Linked DNA regions of Oryzias latipes. The protein of the gene in region 1 binds, or shares a complex with, the protein of each later gene. Links are inferred from orthologs where the notes say so. Each region holds a gene or a part of one and is shown on either strand. Other genes may lie near its edges. The genes, in order: supt16h and ssrp1.

Region 1 (11,415 bases):
GCTCTGCGTCTCACCTTTCTTCAGCTTGTACTGGTTTTTAGCGTTCAGAACCAGCGAGCCTTCTCTGAACTCGATTCCCATGGCAAAGCTGTAAGACAGAATGAGTGAGGGCGGGATGGGCTCGAGAGCGACCACACAACGGGGCTTCCAGCTTTACCTTTACAATGATATATATAGATAGAACTTTTCCTTGATACAAGAGTCTATTGCAATACTTATTTTTAAGGTTCCAAAATGAACACTCGCCAGATGAGAGTATTTTCTCCTCTTTGGTGAGTAAAAGTTAGAGGGCAGCAGCAGCAGACAGATCAATAAAAAGTGGTATTTTCTAAATAATAACAGAATTGAATCCACTGTTTTAGCAGCGTCCTTGTTTAGTTCCAGGGCTGGTGTTACACCAAAAACTGTGACCTGACAGATGAGGTGCTGCATCTCCCCACCCCGTTCCCTCGTGAGAGCTGCAGCTTTAATGTCAATGATGTACAATACCAATAAACATAAACATGATACTGTTTTCAGACTGTTTTTGTTTGATTTACTCTAAAATGTGATCACCTGGAAGCAGAATTAAATCTGTTCTTGTGTTTTCCCTGCATGTTTGAATTAAAGTTAGATGACAATAAAGACAAGTTCACACCATTTAGAAATTACATTTATGCACTTTCATTTTCTTCTATAAAAATTCAGATGGTATTTCTGTACAAAATGGTGTTCTACTTTGACCGCTGACTCAAAACTTAGATTCGGCCTCAGTGTGGAGGTATTGCAGTTATTTCAGGTCTGATCAAAACAGAGTAACATGAACCGTGCAGAAGGCATGTTCCTTCTGAAACTAGAAATAGTTCTCTTTTAAAACTTGAAGGCTTTTGCTTTAACTTTCAGTTTAGTTTGTAGTATAAATGCTATTTCTCATCTTAAAAAAAGAAAAGAAAAAGAAAATGGTTGCTTCGTGCTCCTTCAGAGAATTTGTTATGTTTAAAGTATGATAGGAAATAGATATTTAAATCCAAACAACCTGCTGATGATTACACATTTGTCTTATATTTGTCAAATTTGACCAATAGAGTTATTAGGATTATATAGTGATATATAGTTATTGCCTGATAGAAAAAAACCTAGATTGTGATACAAAAAATTCCACATCGTCCAGTTTTACCCAAGGTTTTTGGTCAGCTTGGACACCAGGTCAGGCTTCTCCTTCTTCACAAACTCTAGAACGGCGTTGTAGGCGTCGCAGATCTTTACGCCTGCAGGAGAAGGACAGAAATGTCACCATCACACAATCTAAACCAACACAACTCTACTGCTGACCTCTAACCCCAAATCAGGATGTCTAAAAAGAAAAAAAAAAAAAAGGAAATCTTCTGATGGAGATTCAAGATGACTCCTAAATCATGACTTCAGTCAACACGGCTTTTTATGCAATTTGGATTATGATCTAAATATTGTCACTTTAGCCTCTTCAGGCTTTTAAAGGACAGGAGGCTCTGCAGAAAAAGCCGTCCTGTCAGATAAACAGATTATATCCAGGCTCTGGTGAGTCGAATCGATTCTGGAATTCTTGGTGATTCCCAGCCCTAGTCAGAAACCCTGATCCTCGTGAGCTACTGCCCTGCAGCCAATCCTGCTTCAGTAATGGACCCGGTTCCCCCGATCCAGCTAATCAGCCATTACTGAAGCAGGATTAGGAACAGGGTTGGAGAGCACAGGAACTTTAGATGAAAGGACTGCAAGTCTTTTCTAGTCGTTACATCTCTATGCAGGTGTTACTGCATCTTTATCTGCTATCTTCTTCCTTTCCATCTATTGCAGCTGTAGGCAGCAAAACTTTAGGTGGAAAAAATTAAGATTTGTTGTTAAATCATTAAAAGCAACACTAACATTTATGTTTTGTTTACTGCTGAAGTGAACCAGGCAGTTGACAGAAAAATGTTTGAGTCTGACATTCAAGCGACATATCGTTCCTTTCTTTGAAAATCTTTGTGTTTTTATCTGTTCTGTTTATCTGGTATTAAATACATTTTAATTTCCATGCATCCAGGAAAAAAGAGATTGATATACCAACCATTCAGACATAATAAATTACATCTAAATAGTAAAAATGATGGAACGATTCACAAAACGTTTGTAACTGTTCTAAAAGATCTGCACACACACACAAACGCAAAAAGGATTTTTGTTTGGAATGTTTTCTAAACTAAAATTCAGAGGAAGGACAGTTCCTTCGATCATCTTTAAATGTTTCGACTAATAGACTGAAGTCCACCTGACCACAAGACTTTACAAGAAAACGTCCACCAGAACCTAAAGTTCCCACAGTCACAGGCAGCTCATGAACGCACCGTGCTTCAGCTCCTTCAGCAGCTCCTCCTCCACCTGAACCAGGAAGTTGTAGTTGTCCTGCATCTCCTGGGACGGGTCCACCATCAGGGTCCGAACTAGGTTGGAGCAGTAGGACTTGTAGCGGATGCCCATGGCACACGTGATGGCACCAAAGTGCATGTGGTTCTTATCACTGAGACGACGGTATCAGAAAATAAAGAAAGAAATAAGTCAGCCAGTGCGCTTTATGAGGAGCCACAAATCAGGAGGATTTCTTTTTAGCCATTTTACTTTTGGATATCCAGGTCTGAACACTTTAAACATCAACCAGAACTGACTCACTGCGACCTATATGGTTGAAATAAAACACATTTTATTTAAAAGTGATTAAAGCTGTGACGGAACAAAGAAACAGCTCCTTCCTTTGAGGTACAGTGCCACCTGGTGGTGACAAGCACAAACTGCACCAAGAAGAAGCTCCTTTGAAAAACATGCTGAAGTTGAACACTCTCTTCAAACAGGAACCCTCTCCAGGCCTGATGTTGAGCTAACAGTCCTCACACAGACCTCCTCAAACCAAAAAATTCCCTCTATCACATTAAGGGATTCTGGAAAATTCTTCAGAGCTGGAGCTTCCTTGAGCTTTCTGATCAAACCTCTGACTTTTGAGTGATGAGCTGCTGTCAGAAAAGAGTTTCTACGGGACTTTGTGCCAGAGCCATCACTCACCTGACCACGCTAAACTTCAGACTGTAGTTGCCCCCACTCTGGATGATGGGGGGGTAGCACATCTCCACTGTGGACGGGTCTGCACCGCCCAGGTACTTCTTCTCCTCGATGGCCTTCTCCACCGACTCAGCCAGCTTGCTGTGACGCACTTTCTGTTGAGGAACAGATGCATTCAAACAGGGAAAGCCAGCACAGCGCCCGTCTCAGGACCACCAAAGCCGCAGTCCGTGGGTTTACGAAGAGAAAGAAGATCTGATGTTCCCGTATGTTGACCTGCAGAGATCTCCGTTTGCCCCGCTCCTCTCACCTCGTCGGCATCAACGATCTCCATGACGCGCTCCTTGAAGAACTTGGAGTAAACCTCGCTGGTGATGGCGGCTGCTTTCTTCATCAGACCCAGCTCCCCGTCCTCCTTCACCGCCATGGTGTAGGCCACCACGGCACTGATATCCACCTGCACCCACGTGGCAGCGGCGTGATCACAGAGGCGTGAACAGAGGAAGCTGGCCTGGGCATCTGCTCGCGTGCCCCCTTACCTTCTCCAGACCCTCAGCGTTGAGCGCGTCGCCCCAGCTCTTCATGTAGTCTCCAGGAAACTTGTCCTTGCTGAAGATTCCCACCGTCTTCCCCTCTCTGCTGCCCTTGATCGCCTCAATCATCTTATCAAAGTTGGCTTTGTTGCTTTCATTCTGAAAGGCGAAAGGTCAAAGCTGGTGAACAAATCTTTGCTTCAAAGTCTGACAGCTCTACATGAAAAACTCCCCGACTCACCTTCTCTCTAGTGAGCAAAGTGATGGGCGGGGCTCCATTGGCGTTCTCGTTGCCTTTGGTTACAGCCACCTGTTTGAGGAAGTCCACCTTCTTCTTGCTGGCCAGGAAGATGATTTTGGTGTCACAAAACACCATGATGGTGTCCGTGAGCTCGTAGCCAAACAGCCAAGTCTGAGGGCCAAAAGCATGCCGGTCAGCTGAAAATACGGCGGCCCGTCTCTGGCCTCCCCTCAGACCCTGGAAGCTCACCTGTATGGCGGTGGATTTGGCGTACACGATCTCCTCATCGACCCCCACAGAAACTACGATGGCATCAATTTTACCAAACTCATCCTCTCCTTTCTAGAATGTACACAAAGACACACATTCATTGGAATTACGGTCAGGCTAAGCCAAAAAAAAAAAAAAAAAAAAAAAAAAGACTTTTTTCCCACTAAATGTGATTTCCAATGTTAACTGTCTTTTTTTTTTTTTCCTCCTTTCTCAGTATACTTTTTTACAAAAATGACAAACTACATCTAAAAAAAACTATCACTTTAACATCTCCTTTGAGAGTTCACCTGCTTCAGGTGTAAAAAACTAATTCGCTGTTGTTCTACCTTTGTTAGCAACAGTTTTCACACATTTTTTGCATCATGCAATTTGTTGCTCCAAGTCTGAAGTCACAAAATTGAACGAGTTCCATTTAACTGTCTTTTTCAGAGTAGAAGTCACAGTGAACTAGCACTCAGGAGAGACTTGTGTGATTTTTTTTTAACATGAACAGGCTCATATGTGTTATTTTCCCACCAACAACCAGTTGCTCTTCAGCGGTTGTTGCTGCTAGAAGGCACTGTAAGTGTATGCATCGGTATTTGTGACTGACAGCAACAGAGATGAATGAAGCAGCGTCTTTAAGAACAAAAAATGGAGGAGAATCTGATCGTCGTCTTCCTGAGCTTTGTGATATTTTTCTTACTTGCATCTAGACATTATTATTGTTTTTCATTTTTCCTTCCTCCGACTAATGCGGGACAGCAAGTCATCAAACTGGGTTACAGAGACGAGGAAGTACAGCTGAAAGCGCCATCATTCACACGCAGTGGAAAAAAAAGATTGCTAGACATTTTTTTTTTTAAAGGACTGAAAGGTCTTATGAACCCAGCCATGGAGATGTGTTTACTGAAGCTTTTGTAGAACTCTTCAAAATATCTCTTGTCGTTTCATTTCATTGTGAAAGAGTTATCCGGTCAATGCTTCTATGTAGCGATGAGGCTAAAAACTTGACAGTAGCTTCTACCACACGTGAAAGCGCCTCCAGCCGATGAACACATTTTTGGACAAGCATTGAGCATCTGCTTTGGCAGCAAACACAGATGTGACGCATGAATCGGGTTTGGTGTGAATGCAGTATTACGCCGGGGTTGGCAGAGTTGTTCTACAAACATATTCCGGAGCGATTTATATGTGGGGGGGTTTCCCCCCTTCTTTTCTATGCATTTTTTTTTTGCTGATGCGACTTGTGCTCCGGAAAAACGTATAGTCGGATAAATAAATAACTGGGGAAAAAACAGATCTGCTATTTTCATGTCTGCGCATAGCGAGAAATGGGCAGGCTGACCTTACTCTGAACAACAGAAGTCCAAGAGAGCTGTGAAAATAAAATCCAGATTTATCAATATACACACAACAAATTCAAATGTATCGATGAGATTGATTAAATAACCCAGCCCTCCACTCAGGTTTGGTGTGCATTCACCTTCTACTCCTCCTTTTTCAGGGATCTGACTAGACTAAGAGGCGTTATAACCTCAGCTCGGAACTTTCTGCCCTGAAATAAATGCATCTTTAGGTTCCCTGGATGATTCATAAAAGTACTACTGTGTTAATTAAAAACACAAACTTGGAAATGTGTTATGCATTCTTTAACATTTTAATCATGAACAATGGCTTTTGGAATCTCTCAGTCTTTAATGAGGCAAATAAAACACTTTCAGCTGCCCTCCATTGGAGTTCTGCTCCTTTACAAGGTTGGGTCAACAAAAAACTTTATTGAAATGAACACACTCTAAGGCATGATTAGACATTAGAGGAAAGCCATTCATGCAAGTTTGTGGCTTCCTCCCACAGTTTAGACACACGACTGGCCTAAATCAGAGTTTGGGTCTTGTGGTTCTGGGACTGATTGTGGGGGGGGGGGGGGGGGGGGGGTGCTGTGCTTGTCTTTGCAAGGGGCCACAGAGACCCTGATCAGGATGAAGCAGGGGTTGATGATGAATGGAAGACAATCTAATCCTGAGTTTGTGAAACAAATAGATCTAGGGGTTTGGTTGTGATGTTTGACCTTAAACTCCTCACAGCACAAGGGGCTTCTATCAGTAACTTAGTAACCTGTTACTCTACCCGAACCATAACCTAAAGTTTTCAGGTGAAAAAAGGCAGCATATATGAAGCTGAAACTTTGGTCTGGGATAAAAGTTCATCTGTAAGAATTGAGTTTCCAAACCCGCACATGCCGCAGAAACGAGTCCCATGCTGGCGCCGCGCGCTTCACATGGAGCCGGGATGCTGATGCTGTGATGCTAATTGTTAGCATCCTAGATTAGCATGTAGCGCTGGGACAAAGTGCAAACCGGCAGCAGCTGAACTTTAGCTTCAACTCACTCAGCCCTGTGATCGGTAGAACTTTATCGGAACCATTTCATTGAAATGTGTGTGTCCATTTCGATGAAGAGCGGCCATAAGCCGTCGTACTCCGTTAGCTGGTTGGTGAAGTTAACAAGTTAGCAGACTAGCTAACCCACTGACTGAATGAGAGGACCGCAGTGCTAACATGAGGCAGTCGCATGCGGGACCGAGGATCCCTGCGGGTATCTTACCAATGTGTCCTAAAAGATTCGCAAAACAAACACCGACCCGTAACTGCACGGTCTGGAGAACATCAGCGTTCGCACCCTCAACGCTCCGCTGGGTCCGGTGTGAACCCGCGGCTAACTCTCTCTGGGCTCCCACAGCGGCTTCATCATGTCTTCTGCTCAAAAATTACCTCTAACCGGGTTCTGCAGCACACCGACCCGCTCCGGGCCGAGCGCGGCTCACCTTCCAGTTGCTGTATAGCCTTTTGATGCGGCGGTAGTACGCTTCCTTGTCCAGGTTAACCGCCATGGCGAGCGCTCTGCTGCGAACTCCAGCTCCCGGCTTGGCCTCCCCAGCAGGCCGGATGAGGATGATGATGATGGTGAGCTAACAACAACGCACTTTCCTTCCACGCCTGCCGAGGTCCGAACGGCACTGACTGCAGATGCGCTCGGCTTTATAAGAACCGCAACCTTCTAGCTACGCGCTCATGCAAGAACCAGCGACGGGTTAAGAAAATGATCAAAATTACTCAAATTCAAACTGTTCATCTACCACTGTTTTCATACACCAATCAGTTATAATTAGACGCTCACCCCTCCCTCTCTACAGTCCGAGCCTTTTCCCTCCCCCTCTGTGCATATTCATCATTGAGATCAGTATACTTATCCACTAAATCTCCATGGTAACCATTGAATAAAAGTGTAAAGTAAGCCTAACAGAATTCAAAATAAAACTGCCATTTTTATTTTACTTCAACGCGTTTAATACATTTATTTTATTCATAATGACGTATTTTGTTGTAAACCGCAGTGTCGCCACAGCGCCCCCTGCCGTGTGTTGACTATCAATCTTTCCCGCCACGAAGGACCTTTCCCGCCACCATCTTCGAAAGGTTCTGCTGACGTAAATCTCGCGATACCACGTCCACTTGGCAGCCTCCAAGATTTGCGGGGGAAATTCAACAAGTTTTTTTTATTGAATCATTGTAAAATGTTAAAATCAAGACGTCTCCATCTTCAGAAAAACACTATCATGTCATGTTGAAACAACAGTAAAGGAACACATAGAGCACATCAAAACTCTGAACTCTTACATGAAATCAATTAAATGAAAAAATAAAATAAATAAAACAAAAGTTGTGAGGGGTTTAATCTAAGAGTTTAAACAATTGTAGCATATAGTAGCATATTGGATTTTTTTTCTTCTCCTTGCGGTGTTGGTATCTTGGTTATAACTTATATAACCGATTTATATGGGGTTTCATCTTAAAGAGTTTGCAGTTGTGGAAAAATTATTTTGTGGTTCAAATCAATCCTTTGATCATGAAGTCTTAATTTTTATTACTCAAGTACATTTTATTTCTAACAGAATTTCAATTTAAACAGTCTATTGTAATATTTTCACCTGTCAACCAATTATGAAAAAAAAAGTTTTTTTTAAAAAAAGCCTTGCAAAAAATAGACAAGGGTGAAAATCTAAATGCTGTTGAAGTTAATTTTTTTTTAATAAAGGTTAATAAATTAACATTAAAGCTTAGAATCAAACCATTGACTGTAAATGAGAACTGGATCAAGTGAGTGTGATATCACCCATAGAACATGACTTGCTTCTGTTTCCAATGAATTAAGGCTCATTCGGCTGCTAATTTTTTGATATACGGCTGTCGTGATGTTGGAACCAGACAATCGGTAAGCAGCGATTGGTCAAGTTGGCCTAAGTTTACATTTCTATGCTGACCCATACAGTCAATGAATCAAACTAAATTGGTTCTTGATCTGCAATCATGAGGTCAAAATGTATATTACAACATAAAATATTTTATTTCATGATTAAAAACATTTCCATGATATGTACAATAAATCAGACCAATAACTGCATCAATAAGTCTCATTGGGAAGTTTTATTTTTTCAAAGCATTTAGTCTCTGTTGGACTACTTTCACAGCCAAACGCGATTGATGTTTGCAAAGAAAACAACTGTTTTTCCCTCATGGTAAGTAGTGTTGTCAGAGCTGACCTCTTTTAATTTAAATTTACCTCTTCAAAAAAAAGACCTTTGAGCACAAATCTCCCCTTAAAAGCAAACTTGGCATGAAATTTAAAAAGGGATTCATGAGAACAGAAAGGTTAGCACCTGTTAGAATCTTCATGAAGCCGAGCTGGACTTTTGTCCTCCTCGCTCTCTTTCAGCTTCTAGGGCTTTGTGCAGTTGTTGGTCTTTTCTCATCAACACAAACACAGCCACCCAAACAACACAACTCTTCACATTGATTAGTTCTCATAGTAACAGTAAAGGGAAGATTATACACACAAAGTTGAGTTTTTAAAGCACCTAAAAATAAAGAATTCATCCACAACAATATTTTCTTTTTTTTTGCAAAACAATTAAAAACACCAGAAGTTCATAATTTGTTGAGTCTGAAGTTGAAATGATCAGTGGCCATCATCATAATTGCAGTGTTTGAAACCAAAGAGTTTCTGCAGAAAAGAGGTGGTGAAGATCTTCTGCTCAGCGTTTGTCCCCGCGCTGACAGGACGACGGGAGTCAGCTGTCGGGTGCCCCTGAGTCGGACTCTGTCTGTGCTCGGCTGTCAGGTTTGTCCTGGTCCTATGTGACGGTGGTGGAGCTCTGCCCGCGGATAGCACACCAGGCCATGAACACGTCTCTGCAGAGCCGCCAGGAGAAGATGAGAAAAGAAAACGTGTGACGTTTGAGTGTCTTACAGAACCCAGAAAAGCAATTCACCAAAGTAGCATAAGGAGATTCAGGATAAGCTCAAGATGCTGACTTGATCTAGAATCTTTACAACCTTTTGAATTATTATTATTATTTTAAACATTTTGATTTTAAAAGTAAAGATATGTGTGTGTGTATGTGTGTGTGTGTGTGTGGGGGGGGGTGTCAGCTACAAATTCTGCAAGTTTTTCCACTTTAAAAATTGAAATTAGTCTGTAATGTTCATCATAGAAACGCTTAATCTGTGACAATCCAGGAAATCCCATTATAGGATTTAGAAATTATTTCTTTGTATAATGTTGCAGGAGATAAGTATTTGGTCAACAGCAAAAGTTTACCTCAATTCTTTGTGATGTAACCCTGGTTGTCAATAGCTGCGTATCCATTGACTATTAAATTGCGCAAATTGGATTTGCGATAATAAGGAGCTCTCCGCTCCATGGCTGGAATGAGACGCAGACGTCTCCTTTGACAGGTGAAGATGAGCGCTAGAGATGGCAGAAATTTGAATGCATCTGCTGTCAAATTATCATTTTATTAGTTGAAATATTGTTCACATCCATCGCCATGTTTTTGAATGACTTATCGATTAAGTTGGTTTGTGTTTATTCCCATAATTATAATTTAATGGAAACAATCTGACTGTGAAATCTTGTTTTTTCAATATTTTTATAATTTTGAAAAGGGTTTGCACATATGTGTAATTGAAAAACAGAGACAATGACAGAGGTCAAAGGTTTCCTGTAGGTCTATTAAAAAGATTGACATTGTAGCTGCTATTCTGGTCCATTCTTCCATTCAGATCTTCTCAAGAGCTGTCATATCTTGGGGCTGTAGCTGGACAAGTTTTTTCGCAGCGGAACATGAACAAACCCCCTTCGGGACCGCATATCCGCGGGTCTTACGTTCCTAACATTGACCTAATCCTAACTTTGACATTTGAAGACGTAATAATTGTTGTTAAAAGTGGTTTTAACGTCTCAAAAGAATGGTAAAGCCACCCAGACGTTGACGCATTTTGCAGTACGGATTGGATACCCACACCTGCCTTTCTCTGCAACCGTGATCAGATTTGTTGAAGAAAGGAGAAAAGCCTGTGTTGTGGAATTAGTGTGTGCGTGTTTATGAGATGACGCTTGCGTGCTGCAGGAAAGAGGGGGGAAGAGCGCAAGATTGAGAATGATTATGTTATCCTGGAAATTATCCTGCTCTGGATCAGATTAGATGGATCAAACCTTTACATTGACTTGATTCAGGCTCTTATTCTATGTGTGTGCAGCTAAACCTGATCTAAATGGAGCTGACATGGTTTTGATGTTGGAAAACGGGAAGATGATTTCGGGTTTGACTGATTGGGATTTTGTGCAAACATCTTGTTTTCTGTGAACAAACCTGCAGTGGGTGGCCACACACTCGTTGCTGCAGTACTCCCGGTCCCAGTCTTTACTCTCCACCGCGGGGTTTGTGCAGCCCGCTCGAACGCAGATGTTTGGACTGGAGGTGGAGGTTATGCTGGGGGCGGGGGCCACGCTCACCTCCACCTCCATCTGAGGGTGAGGAGAAACAGAGTTGGGATGATGTGTGTCAACCTACAGCCAGAATCCTTTCAGACACTTGTTGGACCCACCCCCTCCTCTGGTTCTGCCACGTCCTCCCCTCTTGTCAGCATGGCGCCGCTCTGTCCCACCTGCACCACCATGCCCGAGGGAGACGCTGCCCCCTCACCCACTGACGTCACTGCGATTGCAGAGTCCGACTGCCGGGACGAAGGAATGACCTTAAATTGTAGTGGGGGTGGGGCAGTGGTGGCAGCTGTGCCCCCGCCCCGTGGTTTGGGCTGCAGAGGCGGAGGGGCCTGGGCGTGTACCATCTGCTGCAGCCGTGGAGGGGGCGGGGTGTTCTGCCTGTGCTGCAGCGGCGGTGGCTGGCGGGACGACGGGGCAGCAGTGGCAGTGACAGACACTCCCCCGGAGGGCAGCGGCGTCTGCTTAATGATGATCTTTGTGACAGTGGGGGGGT
Region 2 (11,495 bases), on another chromosome or scaffold:
TCATCTCTCACACTGCTCAGTAAATTTCTCGGAAACATCAAGCTTCCACATCTGACAAAATCTTTTCTTTCCCTCTGAGTAAATCCACTCAATCTCCTCCCTTGATCGATTTTATCCTTTCTCAATAAAAATTTTCATTTACTTGCACCAAAATAGTTAATATTATTTTAATCAAAATGAAAATTTAACCCCATTTGTACCACGAAATTTTGTTCAAAAGCTTTACTTATCTTCTTTTTTTTGACACACCTCCTTTTTTAATGAGTTTCTCAAACATTTGTTACGTCAACAGGACACTGGGTTAAGCTGACGGAAAAAATTTTTTTTTGTGGAACCACAAATTGTGGATAACCATTAATTCAGATACTTTTGGCCTATTTAACTTTTGTTGGACATAGATTTTTTCATTTTTCTTTGTTATTTAGGTTTTGACAGCAAAATTAACCAGTGTGGTAATATAACATAAAATGTGATGCCAGGTCTTAAAGTCCCACAGCTTTAAATCTATTTTAAAAGCATTCCCGGTCATTTTTTTTTCTATGTTAAAAGGTGTTTCCTTTCATATTTTTTAAAGATTTTTCTGCCGTTAGTGTCACAGAAAGTTTTCTGAATGTGCTTTCCTGATGTACTTCTTTCACCTCTATTTCCAGTTTTTGCAACAACAAAAAAAATGTTCCCTGAAATCTTACACCTGAATTAACAGTAGGTATTACTTAAGCAGAGGGTACAGAACTAAAAAAAAAACAGCATCATAGTCTGGGAACAAGCAGGATATTTTGTAGTCTTGAAGGACAGAGACAGAGGGAAAAGAGGAGGTGGAGGTGGAGGAAGAGGAAAAGGTGGAGGGAAGGGGGAGTTTTCTGAAGCGAGGGGCCATGTTAATTTGGGAAAAATGTAAACAGCATGTGTAACTGTTCAAAGCGTGACCGGCTCATTTTATATCATTCCCCCCTTCGCTCTTCTCTCTCCTCCCCTCCGGGTGCTGCTAACTTCTGTCAATCTGTAGTGCATTAACCCCTCGGCCGCCGCTTCCCTTCTTCCTCTCCATGGACTTTTATCCGTCTTTAAGCTCCCTCATCCTAACTCATCCACGGAGCCCCCACCACTCCGCCCCTCCTCACATCCTCTTGATATATATGTACCATGAAGAATTGAGGATGGCTTGAGAGAATCAAAAGGTTCAGTTTATCCTCCTTCTTCCACATCCCCTCCTCTTCCCTTCTTCCTTTTGTCTCCCCTGATTGGCTGTTGTTTTCATTGACACACCAGGGCTTTCAGGCTTTCTTTGCAAGCTTTTTTGCCCCGTATGTGAGAAAATAAAACTCACATTGTGTATGTACCTGGAGAGATGAATGCTCTGTTTGTGTCAGAGGTGACATGCTGTGCAGCAGCGTATTTGTTTGCTCTGTGTGTCAGAAAGAGCTGCAAAGCGTTTGTATTTATTTTTCTTGTAAAGTTAGACTAAATTTGCAGTGCAAGTCATAGTGTCCCCACCTAAATGGGGTGAAGAGGACCACGGAGGAAGGCTGAAATGTGGGAAGATGTTTTCTGAAATGCCTAATTTCATCACAGAGCCATCCCTCAGTAGACTGTCCTGTCTTTCTTTCACCTCCTTTCCCCACCTTTCCTAGACGAGGAGCAGCAGCCGTGGCGGTCCTCCCAAGAGGGATGAAATTTGTGTGTGTCCTCTCACACCCTGACTAACGTGAATCATATACTTTCTCATATCAGTGACAGATAACGAGACAGGGGCTCCTCAGCTGCTCTGACCTCCAATACCTCCGTCAGGTCTCGCCCCATTTGTTTCCAAGCTATGCCTCATGTTTAACTAAAATCCAATTAGCAAATCTTTTTTATTCGTTGTACAAAATAACTAATTCTCTAGCTAATAATATTTCACTTTTGATTTTATTTTAGAAGAATCAAATCTTAACTTTTAACCTGCAAAGAAATGATTCTCTTTGTACTTGAATAGACTATAATAACGGTTTAAGTAGTTTGGTTAAAACAAGTGAATTTTCTTTTTTTTCTTTTTTTTTATAAAATGTGTCTTTAAATATGCAGCAAAAAAGTAGGCTACAAGACAAAATATTTGATTGGACAAATCATTTTTACGAAACCATTTTAAAATATATACATTTACATGCAAAGCTTGGACAAAGATGTTAAAATTCATTTTAGTTTTCTTTTTAGAGTTTCATTGAATGCACTCACCTCCCTTGAAGCATTTCATCTTATTCCGTTCACAGCTTCCTTGCAGATTGAACAGACAAACTTTTCATCACGTGTTCAGTAAAAACCTGCTCCCTTCTGCTCGGTGGAAGATGGAAAAATGCAGATGATGCTCTGTCTTGATCCTTTATACAATTATTATAACTTTTTAATGAAATAACTTTTCTCGGTTTAAACGCAAAAACGATCCTCTCACTTGTGTGGTCTGTGTGACAGACTGCGGAGCCTTTTTGTACCTCCTCCACCTCCTCCTCTTTTTTTCTTCCTTTTAACTCATTTTCCTGCCCTCCTTTTCATCCCTGTCTCTTCTTCTTTCCTGGTTATTCCTCCTCCTCGGTGCTGGTGAATCACCGGGTTGACGCACCAGAGCGCAACTTTGACAGAGGCGCTGAACCTCGGGACTTGTCACAACTCATTCCTGTCTCTTGTCCCGTCCTCATCCCCACGAACACGTTTTGACTTCAGCTGTTTGATCTTTAATCTACTTCCCGCTAATAAGGTATCGAGTCGGAAAGGATCCTTTTCAGGACAACAAAGGAAAAGGTCCAGGAGTTACGCACACTCAAAAACTTTCAGAGAGAAAATAAAAAATGGAGAATAAATGGGAATAAAAAGATGTTATAATTGTCGTTTTTTAACGAAAAATTAGATAATTACAAACACAGATCATAAATGCGATATTTCGTCATAAAATCGGTGTAGTAAATTGTACAGTAATAAAAAACGGTGAGAAAAAAACTAATATTCATATTAAAAATAAGCGTCAAGATCTGAGAATTGCGTTGTACACCTCGCTAATCTAACTTTTTCATTTTATTTTTTTAACAACCGCGATTTACCTTCAGCAGTCACGGTTTACAAATCCGTGTTTGTGCTAAAACAAAAAAGATGAAATAGTAAAACTCCTCTGACTGAGTCTGGGCCTCATGCGTAAAGTCCCGCGCCGATAAAAAAAAAAAATATATATGTATATAAAAAAAACGTTCGTGTCTGTTTTAATAAAGCGGTCTGGTTAAATTCAGGTGCTAGCTTCTAAATAAAAAAGAGAGAAAAATATAGAGTTAGAGAAAGCACGGGAGTTCAGCCCATAAAACTGTGCTAATGACTGACAAGATTTCTTTGCCAGGGGTCTGTAAACCACACTCCTCTGAGTTAATAGGATGCGTGCCCAGAGGCCGCTTTTGAGAACTAACTTGACTTACCTCGTATGTTTTGCTTGTTTTTTATTTATCTTGTTAACTGCTTTTTATTTATTTTATTAATTTTCCAATCACAATACGGATGCATTAAATAATCTACACTCAAGCGATTGTTATGTCTTGTTTAGTCTTTTACTAGCTGATCTCAACCCCCAATTGTTCGTTAAATGCCATTTTTAACTTCAATTAAAGTTTTAATACCCTAGAATCTATTTTTTAGATCACTTTAAAAGTGTTAACTGTTTTTGAATTGAAAAACCTGTAGTTTTCAATAACCAATTTCCTAGGATGTGTTGTGTGCCACCTAGCGGCAGTAAACAGTCACTGCACTTGACTCTTTCATGAGCACATTCAGTGATAGCCGCAATAACGAACATAAATCATCGATTTATCCGTAATTTTAAACCCTTTTCATTATTTTTTTCAAACAAAAAAAACCACAACTATAAATCAAAACAATGAACCGGAAGTACATTTATAACCCAGCGTTTCCGGTGACGTAACGCTAGCATCTGATGCTACACGCGGGAAACAGGCAAAGCAGCACGAAACAGAGGTAGTAAGATTTTAAGTTATTTATTTGTGTTTCGATGTGAAAGTATAGCTTGTTTTTTAACCATTTGTTATTTTGGTGGTTGTTTCGTGGTAGACAGACTATCACCAAATCGCTAAAGTAACGCTAACGTTGCTTTCTGTAAAAAAAAAAAGAATCGGCCCGTCTCTTTTAGGTACGTTTGATTTAATGACCGCTTTGTCCCTATCGGGCGGCTTTAGGGTACATGCTGGTACACATGGTAACATTTTTGTCTTGACCGAGTGGTGTAACATAAAATTAGCGCACTTTGCATAACTAACGTTAGCTTAGCTGAAGTAAAATGACAGTCTCTGCGAATAATGAAAGCATTCCTTTTCTTTAAAAAATATTTGTGTTACTATTATGTACTGCCCCTTTCAAGAATTATTTCATTTTCTTAATACCCAAATATTCGGTCAGACATAAATGTCTGCACAGTGCAACACTAACTGAAAGCCAAATTTACATTTTTTTAAAATATTAGTTCGTAAAGCAACATTTTCTGATGATCTGATTTTAATGTGTCTGTAAACATCACGTTGAGAACGCATGATATAAATACCACTGGTCTTTATTTTTATTTCAATGCCCTTTAAGTTGTTTTCTGCCTGCAGGCATCATGGGTGATATGCTGGAGTTCAACGAGATTTATCAGGAAGTGAAAGGCTCTTGGGTTTGTATATGTTATTTTTCTGTATCTCCTCAATATTCTGAATTTTTGGACATTTTAGCATAAAATGTTGGTCAAACAAAAATCTAGTTACATAAGAAGCCATATGCTACAGATCATGAAGTGGTCAGTTTGTTCTGTAAACGTTTTTTAACCTAAAAACTATGTTTTTTTGTCCTTTTTCTGACTTTTTGTAGTCTTAAGTGGGTTATGTTGTTTTTCGAGACCTTCTAATTGTGTTTCACCAGAAAAAAAATAAATAAAAAAAACTGCAAGAATTAATGTCTAATCGTTCAGCTTTTTGTCTGAAATTCAGCTCAGTGTTGTTTTTCTTCATCAATATAATCCAAAGGGACCATTATCAGAACATTCCACCACACTTTATGGTCACATGTCTTTGCCAAATTTAAAGTGTTTCCACACTAAAATGACGTCTTAATCATTTTTGGCAACCATCAATATAATCCATTTATTTCATTTCATTCAACGGTATAGGTTGATTCAGATAAGAGAAAATGACCTCAGACAGATCATTCTGGCTGGATTGTAGGATTACACAATGATTTGTCAATTAAGCGTTACACTGGTGAAAAATACATTTGCAGACTATTCTGTTGTTAAGAAAAACATTCTTTTTTATCAGTTCCCAATCTATTAGTAGATTTTGTTCTTTTGATGTTTTTTAAAGCAAATACTTTCTGCATTTTCACAGAGCTTTTTCTTTGTTTTATTGGTCTTTCAGAATGACGGACGGCTACGGTTCAGCAAACAAAATGTGGTTTATAAGAGCAACAAGACGGGGAAGGTGGACAGCATTCCTGCTGGTGAGCTCAACTTAGCGCAGTGGAGGCGAGTGTGCTTAGGTCACGGCATCAAACTCGGCACCAGCACAGGACACGTGTACAAGTATGACGGCTTCAGGGACACGGTAAGTTACCCACGTGCCCACCTAAGTGTTGTTGCTTTTGGATATTTTTATTGCGGTATTGGCTTCTTCTTTTTTTTCCAGTCTCTTAACCTGTTCCTTCTCTTTTTGGGACGTGTGTCAGCTTTTTCCATGTAGAATAGTGGAACATTTCAGCCTGACACATTCCACTGCTATGGTCAACCTTTTGTTTATGGTAAAGAGCATAACACAAGCAGTGGGGCCTCTGATAAGCAACCCCCCCTGCTTGACGTTTCCCCCGAAAAACACTACCATCTTGCGAAAATGCCACCACTGGAGCTCGCATGGGCGTTTGTGCGCATGTGTTCTGTCAGAACTTTGTGAATAAGTCTGCTCCTTTTCTCGAAGCTCCTAATGGGATTAATGAGGGAAACCAGTGCTAGCATATGCGTTCCATAAACAGTGCAATCATCGGCTCTTGTGAGTCAGTGTTTATATCTATCCACCAAAACAATTTGGCCCAGAAAACGAGCAAGAAATAAATGTGGTTGTGGTTGTTTTCTGTCACAGTTTTTTTTTTTTTTTTTACTATGGAGAATGTCAACAAGACTGGGATGAAGAAGAGGGTATAACCGGGACTGTGTGACAGTCTCCTGGGGTTAATCAGTATATTTTTCAGGGGAGATGGATCTTCTCCCCAGGTCCTGATGTCATTGTTTATTATCCCTCTCTTAGTGTCAGTAATCGAGAATTGGCTGAAAGTTGAGGCTGCTGGCGTGCTGAGCAGACACTTTGAATCATCTGCCCCTTTTGAGAAAGTCCAGTGAATTCCTTCCAGACGGGGGGGTCAACCTCCAAGTGTCATCAGTGGGATCCCATGTTTCCTGATCACGTTAAGAGTTCAGTTTTAACCCCCTGACAGGTGGTGTTGTGTGTCGCCTTTGAAAGCAAATCTTTGTTTAGTGAACTTGGATCCAGCAGATCTGATGGATTGTGATCACTCCGACTTGTAATTTTTCTTTAGAACAAGAAAAAACTGAACACTCTGACACTAATACCGTATTTTCCGGACTATAAGTCGCACCGGAGTATAAGTCGCACCAGCCCAAAAATGCATTATAAAGTAGAAAAAACACAGATAAGTCGCACTGGACTATAAGTCGCATTTTAACTTTCACAACCTTAAATGACACAATCATAGCAGACTGTTTATCTAATAATTTCACAGTAATTCTTTCTCTTACTTAATTATTTATTCCTTTCATGAAGCATCATTGGCCAACTAATACTCTGTTTTCATCCTGTATTTGTAGAAACAGTTTTCACTTTTATTGCATTTCTGAATCTATGAAATCATTGGAAAATAGAATATTATGTTGTTAGCCTTCAAGATCTTACTGTAAAAAAAAGTTTGCTGATTCTCTGAGTCACTTAACATCCTCTTAACACTTAACATACCTCATACATCAAATTGACCCAGAAACATCATCTCTGTTCCTCACAAATGAACATAACAGGAGGGTTAACAATGTATTTATTTCAATTTATTTCTAATATAAGTCGCTGCGGAGTATAAGTCGCACCCCTTGCCAAACTATGAAAAAAGGGCGACTTATAGTCCGGAAAATACGGTATTTGTCACAAACACAATTGTGGAGTTTGTTGTTAGATTACTTAAGTATCAGGAAGTGGAAAGTAGAGTTTTTGCATAATTTTCTTCAAACTTTTAAAGAAGCAAAGTCATGTTATTTATAAACCAGAGTTCAATATGTGATTATTCATTTTGTAGGGAATTTTGTCCTGTTACAACCTGTAACCTTTATCCTTTTTTTTTCTGAGTTTAAATGTGCTCGGCTATGACACAGACGTTGGTCATCATGCTGCATGAGTGTGCGTGTGTTTGTGGGTGTGTGTGTGTGTGTGTGTGTGATGAAGGTGGGCTGAGTGTTTATTTGTATTAGCTGAGTTATGCAACAACAGTGAACAAGCGCTGATTTTTATGCAGCTACGCATCCGCTCCCACATGCTCTGTATCTAAACAGCTCTTTAATCCAGGTCAACAAACATGCTGATGAACTTCAGCACAGACACACACACACACACACACACACACACACACACACACACACACACTCTAATACAGTCATGCTGCCTCTAATTGGCTATAATAACCTTATGGACAAGCAGATATCCAGGTGTGTAAATTTGCTTTCCCACCGAGTCTGGTTCTTCCATGCACATGCAATTACTTCCACATGTGTTTGTACTACTGGAAGTGTGTGTGTGTATGTGTGTGTGTGTCTGTGTGTCACTGCTTTGTCGCTGTGTGCGAGTCCTTTGCAAGTTGTAAGCGGGCCTGAAGGATAAATAAACAGACTGATTGTCAGTTCTGGTTTGGAGTTGGGGCTGCACAGGGAAAGCGGGTGGATTACATTAACATCTTTTGCTCCTTTGTGTGATTAATAAACCACATCCTTCTTCCTACTTGGTGTTTTTTTATAAGCCGCGGCTCATGAAGAGTTTCTCCTTTTACTATCTTCCCCTTCTTCCCCCTCTTTAACACTTTCTATCATCACTACCTCAGTTCATGTGGCCTTTCATTCTTTGAACTCCCACCAGGATTTCGAGAAGCTCTCTGAGTTTTTTAAGGCCAACTACAAGATGGAGCTGGCAGAGAAGGACATGTGTGTGAAGGGCTGGAACTGGGGGACAGCAAAGTTCTCAGGTGACTTTTGGCCACAATCCCTGTTTTAAGATGCCTGTTTCATCCATGCTAAAGTATGAGGCAGTTACTGGCACAGGACGGCCACTTTGATCAATTCCATTCATTTAAACAGACTTATCAGATAAATATCAGTTCAATAATGTTTATTGTTGTTGAGATAATCGATATTGAGCGTCCACTGATGCATGGCAGCGTCTGTCTTCTCTCTCATCTCTCCTCAGGTCCGCTGCTGTCATTTGACGTCAACGACAACACAGCGTTCGAAATCCCCCTCTCCAATGTTTCCCAGTGTGCAACGGGAAAAAATGAAGTCACCCTGGAGTTTCACCAGAATGACGACACAGAGGTCTCCCTGATGGAAGTCCGATTTTACGTCCCCCCCAGCCAGGCCGATGAGCGACAAGAGTCTGTGGAGGTGAGCAGTCGGCTTCCAAATACTGGTCTCCGTGCAGAAACGCTCTTTATGAAGTGTTTGTGTTGTCAGTGTGATTGTGTCATTTGCAGAGGTTTGTTTTTTTCCTGTAGGCTTTTGCTCAGAATGTCCTGTCCAAGGCTGACGTCATCCAAGCCACAGGAGATGCTGTGTGCATCTTCAAGGAGCTGCAGTGTCTTACTCCCAGAGGAAGGTCAAATATCATATCCTATTGTCTGAAAAGCCGTCTTTCAACTCGTATTTATATCAGGTCCACCCATTCTCCAATCCATGCATTAGTGTGCGCTAGGGGTGCAACGTACGGATCACAAGCCACGGTTCGGCACACACGGGGACCAAAAATCACCCTCCTCTTGCACACTTCACATGTGCATCATTTACATGAACTGTCCGTTCACACCGAACGCAATTTGTGCACCAAATTCATGAACGCCGTCTTTGTTTTAACGTGCGTCAAAGTTGCTGCTTGAGGTTTTTCCAAAAATGTGTTAACCTGCAACTCCTGCCGCACTTTTCTCGACCTCATCACGGAGGACGAAGATCAGTACAGATCAGGTTCATTTATTTTGAAGAACTTTACAAAAGCGTAAAAAGCTGGAACCAGTGGGAGGGGCTTTATAGCAGGAAACACAGGGAAAGGAAGAAAAGTAGTAGAGTCTAACATCCCCAATTATCTTACTTATTTTTAAATTTAATTGTTTTTCAATATACAATGTCTCAAAGCACTTTTGCCTATGTGGGCATCTTTCATATGAAGGAATATCTTGAGTTCAAAGATCTCATTAATGTTTTATTTTTATAAATAGACCTCCATGAGCAAATATTTTGATGTTAGAATACATTTGTGTCTTTGTATGTTTTGAAGCTTTTCATATATGCTTAATCAAATCTATATTTTGAAGCTTTAAAATAATAATAACTGAAGACTTTTATTTTGTTTTTTTCCATTTCACTGATCTAAAAAACGATACGAACCGTGAGTTTTGTGATCCGTTGCACCCCTAGTGTGCAGCTGTTTGAGGCGGTGTATGTACCATAACCGTTCGGCCTGGAACTTCCGTTCGGGGTCCTGGGACTAATGCTGACGTCACATTATGTGATTGGCTGTCCGTTGGTCCGATGACGTGTCAGATAGTGGTTGGTCTGGACAAATTATGATACTACCAAAATATTATGAAGTCTGTTGTAAACAAACACAGCTTCGACATAAGCGAGATTGTCTTCTAAACGTGCCTTTATTATTAATATTAAATGCACGTTTGCTTATAGATTTTTTAATCTGTGCGCCCAGTGCTTCATTATTGGCAGAACGGACCCGGGAGAACAACATTTAGCCGTGCTGATAACATTTTCAGCCACGGCTGAACTTAAACTGGAACAACGAGCCGATTGTGGCAACATGTCTTTATAAAAATTACAAAGAATATTGTCAGACACAATTTTTGAGGAAAATAACTTTAGGTTACAGAAGGGAACGTGAAATTAAAATTTGTAGAGCAGATCTCGACGCTACGTAGTTTGTCCAAGTGGGGCTACCGTAGCGTGACGTTACCTTCAGTCCAAAGGACCCCGAACGGAAGTTCCAGGCCGAACGGCTATGGTAGCTACAGCGGCTTTGGTAGAAAAATGTTGAGTTCAGAACACAATTCAAACTAGAAATTCTGGTTATAAATGCAAACTTTACAGAAGTTTATTTGTTGCAGCTTTTGTTCCCTTTAAACAGCTTCTTAAGTAATTTTCATACCATCTGTGCAAACATTTTTCTCGTGTTCTGCTACTTTAAAATCTGAGTTAAGACTGACCTTCAACCTGTCTTTGGTTTGTTTACTGCTCTTTATACACAATATGAATGATAATTCCACTAAAAGAGACGTGGAAAAAACTGCTAATACAAGTAGATAAATGACCTATAAAGAGCCGAATTGCAGCTTCTGAATTAAATGCTTTTGTTTTTGAATCCTCAAGAGTATTACTTTTTTTTTTTTTCAAGTGAAGTATTTGTTCTGCCTGCTGTCAGAAACTGATGTTCTATGATGAGAAGATGACCTCCTGTCATTTCGTTATCTCCTTTGTTCCAGATATGACATCCGTATCTATCCGACATTCCTTCACCTGCATGGTAAAACTTTTGACTACAAAATTCCCTACACCACTGTCCTCCGTCTCTTCCTGCTGCCACACAAGGATCAGAGGCAGATGTTCTTTGTGGTGCGTCAACATTTGAGCTTTATTTTCTTACAATACTGAGTGTAAATTTACAACATTTCTTGCATTTTTTAAATTTTAACTTCCTTCTGATGGTCTGTTTTTCTTTTCTTTTCACAGATTAGCCTTGATCCTCCAATCAAGCAGGGTCAGACTCGCTATCACTTCCTCATTCTCCTTTTCTCCAAAGAGGAGGACATAAATCTCACCCTTAACATGAACGAGTGAGTACAAGTACATTTTAGTAACTATTTAACTCCTTTTGTTTAGGGCTGCTTCAGCTTGTTGGGTTTTGCAAACAAATCTGGAAAACTAAAGATGTCCACTAGGGGGAGACAAAAGTCTGCTTTATTGCCCGTTCACAAACCGTAAAGAAGTTTGTTTTCTTGATGCTTCAGGGATGACGTGGAGCGCCGTTTTGAGGGGAAACTCAATAAGAACATGTCGGGGTCTCTCTATGAGGTAGTCAGCAGGGTGATGAAGGCTCTGGTCAATCGCAAGATCACTGTCCCAGGAAACTTCCAGGGGTAAACATGTCGTACACTAAAACACGTTACGGTCTAAGAACATC

Evidence for each region.
Region 2: supt16h (region 1) and ssrp1 share a complex: the UniProt entries of both Homo sapiens proteins name them as parts of the FACT complex. The link is inferred for Oryzias latipes from reciprocal best matches to the Homo sapiens genes SUPT16H and SSRP1.

Annotation. Positions count from the first base shown.
Region 1 is NC_019876.2:21,322,153-21,333,567, forward strand, and holds the start of supt16h (FACT complex subunit SPT16), read right to left. Parts: upstream 7,261-11,415; 5' UTR 6,967-7,260; coding exon 6,901-6,966; intron 4,165-6,900; coding exon 4,072-4,164; intron 3,994-4,071; coding exon 3,823-3,993; intron 3,741-3,822; coding exon 3,588-3,740; intron 3,506-3,587; coding exon 3,359-3,505; intron 3,204-3,358; coding exon 3,052-3,203; intron 2,516-3,051; coding exon 2,343-2,515; intron 1,248-2,342; coding exon 1,157-1,247; intron 89-1,156; coding exon 15-88; intron 1-14. Other genes in the region: tox4 (TOX high mobility group box family member 4), read right to left, coding at 9,268-9,325, 10,789-10,943, 11,024-11,415. UniProt on the Homo sapiens protein: Component of the FACT complex, a general chromatin factor that acts to reorganize nucleosomes. The FACT complex is involved in multiple processes that require DNA as a template such as mRNA elongation, DNA replication and DNA repair.
Region 2 is NC_019868.2:13,999,638-14,011,132, reverse strand, and holds the start of ssrp1 (FACT complex subunit SSRP1), read left to right. Parts: upstream 1-3,895; 5' UTR 3,896-3,987; intron 3,988-4,619; 5' UTR 4,620-4,624; coding exon 4,625-4,678; intron 4,679-5,417; coding exon 5,418-5,603; intron 5,604-8,180; coding exon 8,181-8,286; intron 8,287-8,507; coding exon 8,508-8,701; intron 8,702-8,811; coding exon 8,812-8,912; intron 8,913-10,797; coding exon 10,798-10,927; intron 10,928-11,044; coding exon 11,045-11,148; intron 11,149-11,322; coding exon 11,323-11,451; intron 11,452-11,495. Other genes in the region: clcf1 (cardiotrophin-like cytokine factor 1), read right to left, coding at 2,215-2,233. UniProt on the Homo sapiens protein: Component of the FACT complex, a general chromatin factor that acts to reorganize nucleosomes. The FACT complex is involved in multiple processes that require DNA as a template such as mRNA elongation, DNA replication and DNA repair.